2 linked regions of the Oreochromis niloticus genome follow. The protein of the gene in region 2 interacts with the protein of the main gene of each other region in a biochemical or structural test. Links are inferred from orthologs where the notes say so. Each region holds a gene or a part of one and is shown on either strand. Other genes may lie near its edges.

The links.
Region 1: the proteins of araf (region 2) and gna12a form a complex in vitro, tested with the Homo sapiens proteins (2 studies listed by BioGRID). The link is inferred for Oreochromis niloticus from reciprocal best matches to the Homo sapiens genes ARAF and GNA12.

What each region holds. Positions count from the first base shown.
Region 1 is NC_031971.2:13,352,418-13,359,573, reverse strand, and holds the start of gna12a (guanine nucleotide-binding protein subunit alpha-12a), read right to left. Parts: upstream 3,017-7,156; 5' UTR 2,531-3,016; coding exon 2,213-2,530; intron 1-2,212. UniProt on the Homo sapiens protein: Guanine nucleotide-binding proteins (G proteins) are involved as modulators or transducers in various transmembrane signaling systems. Activates effector molecule RhoA by binding and activating RhoGEFs (ARHGEF12/LARG).
Region 2 is NC_031977.2:3,349,359-3,356,279, reverse strand, and holds the start of araf (serine/threonine-protein kinase A-Raf), read right to left. Parts: upstream 3,010-6,921; 5' UTR 2,918-3,009; intron 1,390-2,917; 5' UTR 1,265-1,389; coding exon 1,154-1,264; intron 1-1,153. Other genes in the region: U3 small nucleolar ribonucleoprotein IMP4, read right to left, coding at 4,115-4,227, 4,603-4,676, 4,760-4,854, 4,945-5,099, 5,592-5,724. UniProt on the Homo sapiens protein: Involved in the transduction of mitogenic signals from the cell membrane to the nucleus. May also regulate the TOR signaling cascade. Phosphorylates PFKFB2.

The sequences.
Region 1 (7,156 bases), on a different chromosome or scaffold from region 2:
AAAACGACTCGGTGATCATTTACTTTCTAGTTAAGGCTAACTTAGATCAGAGGGGTTTTTTTGTTTGTTTCACTTCAGTGTGTGAGGAACATATGGTTCACCTCTGACAATGGTTAAACCACAGCTCTATCCACTGCTTGATGAGATAATTACTCAGACCGCACCTGAGCTCCACCTCTCCGCTGTTTATTTCTGCAGGCCTAATTGTGCAGCACACCTGTGCATTCTCTTTCAGCTTTATCCGCCCTTCTTTCCTTCCTTTCCCACTTTGCTCTCTCGCTCCTTATCGATAGGTTCCCATAAAACAGGGGGTTCCCCACTACACCTGGTAGGTGACACTGATCTTCCACCAACAACCGCATCTAGCAAACGATTGGCTGTTTTCCCTTTGTGATGTGGGAAATCCAAACAGCGGCGTCCAAACTCAAAGAAGGCACATCATGTCAGGAGCACGACCGGGAATGTGCCGTATTCTTTTTTTAACATTCACGGGAACTGTCAGCGTGACGTCGGTGAGGTGTCTGATCATGGTGCACGCCATATTATTCACACTACATTGATTTGAAGGCCAAAAATCCAACGCGATCTTCATCCGATATTCAAACGGATCAACAGATTTGGCCTCTTGTGACTTTTTCGTCTTCTTCAAAATGAAATTTAGGTCGGAGGCTTACTGCTTCGACATGTTTGGAAAGGATCCAGTGTTGGGATGATAGCCATTTACAGCATTTGCTTTTATTTGTAAAGTGCGGTTAAGCTGGGATTGCTTCAAAATGTCCTCGTTTTCCAACACCAAATTATCCAGATATGATTTTAATGCCCATTAATGCCCATTAATTCAATAATTCACTGATGATAAATTAGTTATTATTGTTATTGTATCATCTACATAGAGGCTCAAAGGCCTGTTTCCAGCAGCCATCAGTCCTTCTTCAGTGGCACATTATGTCGCCCAGTGAACGTTTATCACGTTACAGGGCTGATTGATCATCGGTAAAACCTTTTTCCAATTATGTTAGCACAGCTTGTGCTGATTAAAGAAGCCATAAACGTCGAGTATGCGCGAGCATCACACAATTTGCCTGCATGAACCTCCAATAAACTCCAGATTTTACAACCACGTGTGCTACTCTCTTAAGCAAACAGCACACTAAAAAGGAGCGTGAATCTGCAACTGAGCAAGAGTGCATCACTTCTCAACCAGAAGCTTTTTTTTGTTCTCGCAGTGGTGAGGTCACTCCAGGATTGTGGCCTTCTGTGCAGAGTTGCAAAGAAAAAGTCACATCCAAAAAGATGGGGAAAAGAGTAGACACTGAACAGAGGAATAAAACAGAAACGATTAATCATTAATGAAAATAACTTCCACTTACTACCCTAATACTAACATTCGCTCTTTATATACTTCAGATGACGAATGACCGCAGCGCTGGTGAGGGAATTACAGATGTTTTAAGCGGGGTAATAGCTGGTAGTTTTGGCCTGGACTATCAGCTCCTACACATCGCGCATTGTGTGTGTTTTCTGGAGTTTGGCTGCTGGTAAAGTGTGGGTGTGTGGGAAGATTGTGTTCTTGATCTGGCCCGAGGCAGGACGGTCACTGTATACTTGTGTTTGGGGGAGGGTACTGAATACTGTCTTGTCTGTGCAGAAGTGCAGGCTCTTATCATCCTTGTCTGGGCTGTGTGGCACTCAGGGCGGATGTGCTCATCCCTCAGGAATAGTCTGGTATTGTTAGCTGGTGAAGGAGGCCCAGCCATGACAGCAAACAAAGGGACAGGACGCACACACACACACACACACACACACACACACACACACACACACATAGACTCACTTCAGGATAAAAATATGCACTATGTCAACAGACCTCTGTGTGTGTTTAAATAAGTGTGTGAACCTTAGTCACTAATGGCCCAGGGCTGCAGATATAAATTGTTCCCATCATCTTGATTTTCTTCAGAAAAGGTTTTGCCTGACTGTCTTAAAAAATGCAAATCAATCAGATTTATTATAAAAGCGAAGACAAAAGCAACTAATTTAAAAATCTGAATAGTTAGAGCCACAGTGACCTAAAGTGTCAATTACTTGTGAAAACTTTCAAAATGCCCCCTCACTGTTGTCCTTCTCTTATAAAACACGCTTTGGATGTTTAACAAACACGGCAAACATTAGATATGTGGAGGGTGAAGGCCCCCTCGAGCCTCGTCTTTACCTTCAGTATATTCTCATAGATTGTGTCCCGGAAATCCAGAAGTGCCTTCTGATCAAACTCCTGCCCGTTAATGATGCGCATCTGTTTGAGGAATGTGGACTTTCCGCTCTCCCCGGCCCCGAGCAGGAGGATCTTCACCAGTCGCCGAATGGCTCTCCTCTCCCGGGCGATCATCGCGTCTATCTCCCGACTCCTGCGCCTCGCCTCCCGCTCTTGCGCCGCGTCTCTCTCCCGGCTTCTCTCCTTGCTGCCGCCGGGGTCCCGGCTGGCCTCGGCCGGGAGCAGACAGCGGCTCAGGGTGCGGACCACTCCCGACATGGCGAGTCGTGGGAAAAGTTTACCGAAACTCCAGTGGGAAAATGTTCATTATAGGATTGTGACCCCCCACTCCCGGGATGGAAATGGTCCGACTACAAAGTTCACGGATAAACACGATAAAGACGCGTAAAAAAATAAAGTCTACATTTAGTTTGAGAAGCCGTTATCTAGTCTTCAACCGGCAGACAGTCCGTGTCCATCTTGGTTAGACCTCGCCATCCACAGAAATCACTCTGGATACAGAAACAAAGCCAGAAAGCAACAAAAGAAAGTTTAAACGCTTAAATGTTAGAGGCCAGAAAACAAAAACAGAAAGTTGACATGGAGTCCGTATGTCCATCCAAAGCGCAACAACTGTAACAACGCTGAGGCTGTGGTATCTGACTCCGTGGGACAGCTATCCAAACTATCCAAACACAGCCAGCGGTTTGTGAACTTGGAAGCTCCTGCGGGCGGCGCTGGGACGGCCAGACTGCTGAGGGGGGGGCGCCGCTACTGATGATGCCCGACAGGGGGCGTTAGCAGACGGAAGGAAATACATATAGAAGGAAAGCAGAAACAATTAGCGCTGCTCGTGATGTTTTCTCCTGCTGTTCGTGTGTGTGTGTGCGTCATCACTGGGAAATGTGGTCCTGCTCGGTTTGAGCACTTTTACAGCTCTGTTTGTGGATGGTTTATTGTCAGCGTCACACAGACTTTACATGTCGTCACAAAAGTTTACAGGCCAAGGTCAAAGATACCTGTGGCCCATTAGCACTGAGTAAAGTGGGGCACCCAAGGGGCTATTGGCTCGTGCACTTTATACCCCTGTTGCACACCCTGTTTAATTTTTAAGAGTGTATGAAGCAGGAGGTACAAAAGTCCACTTTACCTTCGTGGCATAGCTGATGCTGTTTGTGAGTGTCGGTCTGCAGGCATTAGTGTAGCAAAAATAGGAGACAGAGGCAGTTTGAGTACTAGATCAGGGGTGTCAAACATAAGGCATGGGGGCCAGAATCAGCCCACCAAAGGCTCCAATCTGGCTTGCTGGGCGACTTTGGCAAATTAAATTTCGGACATTTATCTTTGTTTTCATCATTTTTGCAGCTTTTCTCCTGAAGTCCTCACCAGTGGAAATTCATACTACACTGAAGTAAATAAGTAACAGGTAAAGAATTAAATGACAGAAAGTTAATGTTTTTTCACTGCCAGACAGTCTGGGCTCTCTGTCATTTTACATGTTTGTTTTTCAGAATTTAAGCCGAAGAGTTGTGCTGACAGACGTCTTTCATTTACTGCTGAAGCATTTCTGTATCAAGTAGAAAAACTGCTCTTCTTTTTCTTCAATTAAAATATCTCTAGGATTAAATGTGTAGTTAAATTTCTTTACACTGACAAACAGGTGAGTTTCACTGGTCCAGCCCACTTAAGAACAAAGTGGGTCGTAAGTGGCTCACGATGTAAAATAACATTGCAACACTGCAAGCTACCTTCACAAAAAGGACACTGAATGCTGCACTAAGTATTGAGTACTCATGTTAACATGTAATGAGGTATTAATGATACTGAATACTCTTGAGTCGGAGTGTTGCCAAGGAATACTGTGGCTTGTGTGACTGCACACACCAAGATGATCTGCAGTTTTATACAGCTACACATTTTCTCTTTTAAAATGGTCCCAAATCCTGAAAGAAAGTCACACTGGCTAATCAAAATGTTTAAAATGATTGAAAAAAATCACAATAAAACTATAAAGTTCTTGCTGCATCCACATTTTAAATGAAACAATTAAGTTTAGTGCATTAGTTTGCAGTAGTCTCATGATTTTTCTGAGCTTATGCAGCTTAGATCCATCTCAAGATATTCAGACGATTTTCTTTAGTTGAATTAGTCCAATCAGATTTCCGATTCGTGGTCTGTAATTTGTCAGTTATAGCTCAGACCAGAAATCGGTCTTTACTGACACTGATTTTTATCCATATTGCTGCAGTGCATCATAAAGCTCATGATTTCAGCTTTTCCATTTCCAACAATTTATTTTGTTTTACTTTCACGTCTTTAAGAAGCTCACAGTTTTTACAATTTTGATCTAAATATTTTCCCAAGAGCCTCGAAATCTGACCATGTGTTTAGTGATCAATGGAATTTCAAACAAACACAGCAAGCAGACAAACCTTGCATTTTTCTATATTGTGTGTAATTGAGTTGGACACAATCCACCTACTGGATATTACCAATTTAACTTCTTACTGTATGTGTAAATCAGGCCATCCCTCTATTTTCTTTACTTCTTATTCTTTTTAGGGTTACAGGATGAGAGGTGTGTGGCTTACCCCAGCTGTCATGGAGTGAGAGGACAGGTTGCCAGTCCACCAAAGGACTCATTCATGCTCACATTCGCATGCACAGCTAATTGAGAATCACTAGTTAACCTAACATGCATGACAAGGTGCTGGCCAGACAGTGGATTCAAACTCAAGACCTGCTGCACCAGACCCTGCTGCCCCTAAACAGATTAACAGATTTTGCCTCATTTAAACACATCAAACCACAATATTTGAGTAGCACCCAAGAGTTAGGGTCCCCTGTTCCCTTTATGCTCTCAGAGACATGGGGAGAACATGCAGACTGCACACAACATCTCCTCTGACTTTTCTGTGTGGAACTGTGTGGGTACTCTGGTTTCCTTCCATAGTGCAAAGAGTGCTTGTTAGACTTATTGGTGATTCTGAATTGGCCGAAGGTGTGAGTGTGAATGGTTATCTGCCTGCGACAGACTGACAAGCTCCCCAGGGTGTACCCATGACAGCTGGAATATGCGCCAGCCCACCATGACCCTGAATTGGATGAGTGGATGAAAATGGGTGGAAATTAAAATACATCTGCAAGCCTGACTACACTGGAAAACTGAAAAAAGAGGAGGTATGACTCTGGCACTGTGTTGTTATATAATAATTTAAATCAAAATGTTGTTGCGATATGTCAAATCAGAGTTAAAGCACCATTATATGTTGAAAAATCAAACAAGATGTGTAAATACAACACAAACTAGTTTAAATGTTAAACTAATTAGTCTACAGCTTAACCTGTGCAAACGGATGTAGTCCAAATCTGTGCCATTTACTGGGAGAGAGTGAAGTAATGAAGAATGAAGTCTGATGTGCCGGCATGCAGAGAAGACTGGGGCTACAAAGTGTAGTTTCCAGCAAATTTGTGTAAATATGTGAGCGAGTGAAACTCACACTGAAACAAGCTCAGTTTAATAAAAGTAGTTACAGAGTAGTTACAAGACAGCCTGTCTTTGTCTTCAACACACTTCCTCGGGCTGCATGCCTTCGCCTCATTCACTCTCTCCACTCTTTCACTTCTTCTCTGTTGAGCAAGCCAAAGCGTAGCATCCATGCCTGGACCAGCCAGGCCAAGCCTCTCGCTCAGCCAAACCAACAGGAGACCCTCTGCTCCACAGTGTCCCTGCCAGCTTGTCTGAGTGTAATCATCCACGGGATCCAGGTTGTTTCAGGGCTAGTTTCACTACAAGAATAATCTCTCTCACACACACGCCAGTTGGGTCTGCGGACCTCCAGCACCGTTGGAGACGTCTTTCTGCCCACCAACTGTCCGCCGTTACCAAGACGGTGATGTGAGTCAAAAGGAAGTGGACTCAGCCGAAACCAGCCAGCTGGACGAAGCAGCAAACGCGGAGGTGGGGGCGGGCTGCGAGGAGGAGTGAGGTCCAACAGAGAGAGTCCATTTGGACGAGCTGATAGTGTTCGCAGCCACAGTTTAAATTTGATTTCATTTGTGTTGTTTTAATTTGGACTGGCATCTCCTCATCCAAATCTTACTGGGACACAGTATCATGGTTTTACAGCCCATAAAGCATCATCCATTCCCTCCTATGAAACATTTTACTTGGCTGACTTCAAAGCAAATCCATCTTTATTTATATAGTTTGTAAAGATTTAAGGAAATCCAAAAATGTGCTCAGTCTTTACTCATTTCAGATGCCTTCAAAGTTTCAGCTGAAACTCAGTTAGATGTTGAAATAGACACAGGCAGGCGTTTGCTGACATAACTGAGTGATTATTACAAATTGAATATTACACTTAAAATTGTAAAAATGTAATGAAATTGAGGTTGTGCAGCAGGCAAAAGCGTCGTTAGTTCAACACACTGATATCAGTAAACAGAAGACATTGGTTCACATTGCAGTTTTGTCAAGTCAAGTCAGTTTACCATATTTGCATGTAAAATTATATTATAGTTTATAAGCACATTGCAGGACAATACATTTTAACTTGCAGTTCCTCAAGTGGCCACTTGAAGCAGACTCTAAAAGGGAGTCTAGCCTCATTGACTCCTATGTTAAAATGTGCAGGTTTAAAGCATTAAAAAGCACATTTAAAGCACATTGGCCTCTATGGAAAGTTTACCCTCTCGTAACAACAAATTCTTTAATAACTCATCTACCTGGATGATTTAGTTAGGGGTGTAGTCATGTAGTCAGATGAATGGAGCCAATTTGAGTCTGCTAAGCCTGAGCTGTGCATGTGCAGTTGGAGCCTTTTGGAATTTCTTTTTTAATAAATTTCAAACAAGGAAAGATCCCGGTTCAGTTTTGGGAAGAGAAATAAACCTCATTAGGGT
Region 2 (6,921 bases):
CTTAGGCTGAAGACCCCATCTAAATGAACCTCTCCATAAAACCTTTTATTTCAATAGTCACCTGAAGATAAAAAACATGTACTGAATCACCAACCAAACGTCATTTAAAAAAAATAAATACAACTTCAATTTACACATCATCATGGCATTAACTGCTTGGTCGACAGAGCCAACACAATCAACACCTTAGTTTTTCTTCATTGGGATAACCAAATTATAGAGCGCTTTGAGTACTCCGTGAGAGTAGAAAAGCGCTATATAAGAATAAGTCCATTTATTTACATTTTAAAAAAATAACAACACAGCACTTCATATTATCTCAAAAAGTAAGAAAGCACCTTCCTACTTGTCTGCTACAATAATATGTAGTGACATACCCTTGCCACCACACATGTGGAACTGTCAAACGTCAGCTGTGTGCTCATGTTAGCACATCACAATTGGCCAATAGGTTCTCTCATTTTGTGGCTGGTTTGGAGGCAGGGGCTCAATAACCAACCTCTTCACAGTTACTCAGTTCTTCCTTACATTTCTATTCGGGACTGAGTGTCATGTCTCTCCCTTATAATGTCTGCTAATACTACACAGATTTAGCACGTGTGCTCATTCTTTTTACAAAAAAGGTCCAGCAGAGAAGGAAAAAGCTCAGTTTGATCTGCTTTGGAAAGATCTGTACAGCTAGTAAAACTCACCTGTAAACACTGAGGATTTAAAAGGAGAATGCTCCTACATGAATCCCATTTTACAGAGAATGTTGGATAATGCCATGAATACAGTGTCCTCTACACTGCTGCCCCTATTCACTAAATTTAACACTGACATTGTGACAGGACTATGCAACAGCTACGCTTCAGTGTATGAAAACTTGAAATCTAACAGGAATTACAAGTCAAATTAAATGACGATGGTGGCAGACACCATCTGAGAAACCCGATACCAACTGTCCACTAGCTTACTCATTAGCACATTCTGAAAGATTTCAAACTCGGTGCAATTACAGTTACAGCCAACAGTGATGGAAGATTTTTTCCTCTCTCCTACAGAAGTGTTAAATGTCAATTGTTTTCTATCAAACAAGGCACTGTTTATAGTTACAATGTTTAATATAAAAAAATGTCATTGGTCAAGACAAACATGGAGCAAAGCATCTCACCACTGTCCTCTGTTTGTTGGGGAGGTAGACTCGGATGGTTCCTCCACCTCGGGGTGGATCCTCTGGACTGGTCTCCCCTGAGGAGGAGTAGGAGGAGGAGGTGGAGGACATGGTGAGAGGCAGGAGGGAATTGGGGGAGGGCAGGGGGGAAGGGAAGACACAGTACTTGGACACCAAAGCCTCAGGAGAGCTTCATGCACAGTGGGGTCCAGAGGAGTTTGTCCTTTACCTAGAACCTACATAAACACAAACAGAATATGAAAAAGTGCACATAGGTATGATAAAATTGATAATGCGCAGATTTTAAATACTTATATAAACATTAATATCATTAATTGGTAATTAATGTTAAAAGAATACTATAAATAAATTTTTGACAGCTCTCTTTAGGGGTCGCATAGCAGAAAATCTGCCTCCAATAAACCTCATTCCCTAGCATCCTCGTCTATCACACGAACCCTCTGTATCCCTCTCCTTCACAACATCCCCAAACCTTCCTCTTTTTTCTCCTTGCCTAGAAGCTCCATCTTCAACATCCTGTGTTCACCATCCCTCCTCTGCACATGTCCAAATCATCTCAGCCTTGGCCAACTTTGTCTTCAAACCGCTCAACCTGAGGGGTCTCTTGGATGCACTCATTTCTAATTTTGTCCATCATAGTCACTGCTAATGAAAATGTTAACGTCTCCAAACTATACATTATAGCAGCTCTCACTACCACCTTGTAAACACCTTTCAATCTTGCTCCAGTCTTTCTGTCACGAATCTCCCCTGGCACTCGTCTTCACCCTCTTTTTCCATTTCTTTTGGATAAAAATCAATTAAATGAGTAAGAGGGAGTGATATTTTCTGTCTCAACTACTATACAACACGCTAGTAAAAAGTTTAAAGTTCGGGAAAAATCACATACTTTGAATTTAAAGTGTTGTTGAAAACAACAGTTGTTTGATTAACCCAAACACTAAAACCTCGCGAAAGCTTTTTCCTGAGTTTTGAATTGTGGTGATACAACACTGTCTCATATACCGGTTAGCTTGTAATCCAGTGGCACCAACAACTAAGGTGTTCGCAAAGTTGCCTACAAGAGCAAGAACTAACTTTTTCTAAACGTTGTAGCTCATACTTGAGACCTGGCGAGCTTTGAATTAACACTGAAACAAACCGCTGACAAACAAAGTTGCACATTTGCTTAACAGTCGAAAGATGCTAACGCTAGCTCATATTAGCCCGGTAGCCTAGCATGGTTTGACTGCCTTGTAAAATGACATTTCGAGTTTGGGGAAGCCATGTTCCTCTTGGGGCGCGAGTTAATCGTCTCCGGCTAACTAGCTGACTGTCTTTCAAGGTAATTTGTAGTAAGGAGGTGCGAAGCGATATAATGCAAACATAATTCCTACAAAGCAAAGGAATCATAGTTTTCGGAAATTCCTCTTCGCTCAACCAGCTAGCAAACTAGCATAGCTAAGCATTAGCATTAGTTGGAACGGGAGAGATTATGTGGCTGCTTCAGTCACTAGCGCAGTTTACAGTTAAAAGCTTTAACGCTAGTCCCAGCCTGCTAAGGTTAGCAAACTTAGGGGTTTTACCACGGCGTCAGGCTGGTGCCTACTTAGTCTCTTTTCAGATATGCAGCGAATAATTTCTTTGACATGCTCAACACAGGACGGTCCAGATTTTGCTATGTAGTGCTTACGGTAACAGCAAAATCTCCTTTCGTCTCGGTGTTCTGAAACAGTTGGGATAAATAAAAAGTTAAACTCGTACCTGTAACGGCCATCTTGAATTCTCGCAATCTGGAGGCGAATCTGTCAAGAACTTCAGGGGAAAGCGGAAAAACTCCATAAATGCTCTATGCTCATTGGTCAACTTTTGTAGGCGCGTTCTTTCATTGGATAGAAGCTGCAATCCAAACGGTGGGAGCTGCTGTGTAACGATACATGTATACTACAGCAAGAGTATATACACCTGTGATTATTGTTCAGCGTTAAAACCGGTGGAAATGACAAATGTTCATCTGTTTTGTAATTATATTTTGATCACGAGTAAATTAATTAATTTTAAAAACTGCTACAAGATTGTACTAGTTCTACTGACACAAGTATAAATGCATACTAGTGCACTGTTCAGACACTTAACACGTATTTGCGGATGTGTCATTTTGGCAAATTGGTACTGAAAAAAGGATAAAAATCTCTGTGGTGAAACATTACTTTAAGAAGAGAGAGGCACAAAGGGTGACAAAAGAGTGGAGAAAGGCATACACAGGTGGAATACATTTTATGGTTTAATCTGAAAGAGACAGGAGACTGTAGTGGCAGGGGAGAATGTAGTTGAGGTAGCAGTCTGCAGAACGACTTCGGACATCAAAAAGAGGAATTGAGGAAAGGCAGAGGCAAGACAGACAGCAGGCCCAGCTGGAGGTGGGTCGAGGATGCAAAGGTTTTCATTGGAATGATCAGAGTGGATAAGATTAGAAAGGAGTACAGCCTGAGGGGCAGCTCAGGCTGAGCGTTTGGAAGACAAAGTTAGAGAAGCAAGGCTGAGATATTTTGGACATTTACAGAGTGACGGCAGATATGTTGGACAAAGAATGTCAGCCAGGAGCAGAAGACAAAGACCCGAAAGAAGAAGGCAGATTGGTGTAAAAATATATATATATTTTAAAAAAAAGAAGAAAAAAAAAAGACAGACACTCAATTGCAGATCAAGTAAACTCTTTATTACAAAACAGCATAAAAGTTAGAATAACCATATAGAATGCAATGCTTTATACTGTATATATAACCCTACAAATAGGGTTGTCATAAAAAACAAGGCTCAATCTACTTGAGCTCAGCTGTCCTATTCCTCATCACTGTAGACATCCAGAGCTGTTGACTACACTTGGACTTGTCATCCCTCGTTACGCTCCTTTAACAAAAATCACATATTATTTTATAATTCCAGACGATGACTCAGTTCCTATTCAATGCTAAGGAATCTTCTTTTCTTGGCTGTGTGTGTATATGCATGGTGACGCCACTCCACATCTGCGGTGCCCTCGTTCTCCAGGGTGCCTAGTTTGATCATATACACTAAATAGAAAGAGGATGTGGTGTTAATATTTAACGAGCCCAAAGAAAATTTGTACAGAGCAGAGGATAGTAATCCATTCTTTCTACAACTGGAGTTTCCCCTGAATGCTCTTACTTCCAATCACTTATAAATAAATCTTTTTTCTTCCTGGTGTTGCACATTAGTATACAATGTTCACAATGATTTATATTAAGCATTGAAGCTACATATTTTCACTATACATTTTTAAACTTCCAAAAACAAATCTTCCATATCAGATTTCTGATATGGATCAAGTAGTGACAGATGGAAAAACAAAGAATTTCCAGAGAAGATATAACCACGTCAACAATGGTTAATTCAGTCTCTGAACAGCGGTAACTTTCCATACTTACATTTCATTTCAAACCTAGGCCCTACTTCCGTCAGCTCTATGTTCTTGTGGTCTGTTTTCTTATAGGTGTGATGTCTGTTAAAAATAAATGCATCACATCTTACTCCTTAACCCAAATAGCATTTTGTTTATATGACATTTTCACTTTTGATGCTCACCTAAAAGAGATGAAGTCTTCTTGGTTGGCGAATGTGATCACACGCCTGCTGTCCTCCTTTGGCACTGGAAAAAGATACTTGAGGATATTGGATACCTGCGTGAGTAGAATTAATTAGTTGTACACACAAACAAGTGGTGAAAAAGAATATCCAAGGCATGTGCTGTCCAGCACTCACTCACTCACCCTCTTGCCGAGCCGTGAGGTGAAGTTGTGAAAAATGAGGTGGGGGTAGGCCTCAGACATGGTGCCTATGTCGGGAACATCGTGCCTCATTACCACGTTGTAAAGAGTGAAATAAGCTGTTGGGCCAAATGGCAAATGACACACCACCAGGCCATCTGTAAATATATAAGAACAAAAAAAAAACCAACTAAGCAAAATAACAAATATTATGGTCAATACTGAGAGTTAAAAAAAAAAAACCCAAAACACTCCATTATGAAATTTAAAAGTGTAGAGTTTTCATACTGGTAAAGAAACAGTGTTTGTTTCTCTAGTGTTGACCTAATGTGAAGACTACAGGGCAGCTAGGAGGAAAAAAAAACAGCGATGCACATGTGCAATGGATGTATGAACAAGCTGTACAATGTGGTCTGAAACCACCAACCAGTTTTAGCACTGTTGGTGGATGTTGTGCATACAGAACACAAGACTACATAGTCCTTTAACTCTTTACCCCATGAAAGCTGAGTGGGAGTAACCATTAAAGCTCTACTGAACTGAACATTTCTGTCATATTTCAGGCCTGCCTGTAGAACAAAATGACTGAGTGTGGGGTTAATGAGGGTGGACTTTGTAGCTAAATGAATAAGTGAATAAAGCGAGTATACCTGGCTGTCCTCTTGTCTCATGCACGATGACGAGGTCAGTAACACTGTTAGCTTTGCAGGCTCGTACCAATGCAGGGATCTCATGATTTCCTCTGTTCATTCGCTGGGCCCCAGGGAACATCAACTTTACCTCCTGAAATCACATACAAGATGGGCTGCATGTATTATTCTCAACTCAATTTTTAATGTTCATGGTCTACATTGCTTTTTTAAAAATATATAAAATCTGAACCCCAGTTTGTTCTCAATAGCTAGGGCAGTGCCTTATACACCATCACTGTGTATTTGTGTCGCTAAAAGAGAGCAAACATTTCAGAAGACAGAAGAGTTTACCACCGACCACAAGCCTCAAGAAAAACTCAGAACTAAAGCAAGGCATGCAATATGTGGCCAAATTAGGAAAAGCAGCACAGAAGAGGTGTGTGCATGTCAGTGACAAAGTGTAAAAAGTCACACATCTGCACAGATCACAAACTCACTAAGGCTACGTCCACACTAGCCCGGATAGATTTGAAAACGGCATTTTCATCTGAAAACGCTCCGCGTCCACACTAGCGTTTTCAGTCGTTTTCACAGTGTTGTGCGTCCACATTGAAGCGGATGAAAATGCTTACGTTCCCGTCCTGCGCATGCGCAAAAGCGAGTGAGAATTAAAGAATTTGAAGAAAAGCTATCTGGAGCATGTACAAACTAGAGATGGACCGATCCGATATTACATATCGGTATCGGTCCGATACTGACCTAAATTACTGGATCGGATATCGGAGAGAAATAAAAAATGTAATCTGATCCATTAAATATCACGAAAGCACCTCACAAAACTTGTGACATGGCGTAACTCAGCTCATAACCTTAGCACGTCGGAGCAGTATGCGTCACGTGATAGAGCGGCTGTGGCGTGCGAGACCTGTCGGCGGTCTGGTTGAGCATTTGGAGCCTTGCTACCAAACCGGCATTTCATCTCCGAGAAAGTTATCCCAGAGAGAAGTAAGGGTGTAAGTTCATCTCTGAATGTTTGTAAAGCATTCCCACGTTAAGCTTAACAACCGATATATGGAGCGACTGCCTCTTCCCTCTCCCTCCCTCTGCTGCTGCTACTTCAATCATGAAACTGATCAATGATCAGCTGATCAGCTTTTCTGTCGCGACTCCTTGTTTGTTTTTGGCCCACTTTGCACCAGAAAAAGGAAACCAGCAGCTTAACAACAACAGCACATTTAAGCTTGATAAGCTGTTGTTAGAATTTATTTGTGTGGATGCCCTCAAAGGCATCCACACTATTGAGTTCCTGTTTCTCTTTATACTTTATTATTATTCTAGTTGCTCCGAC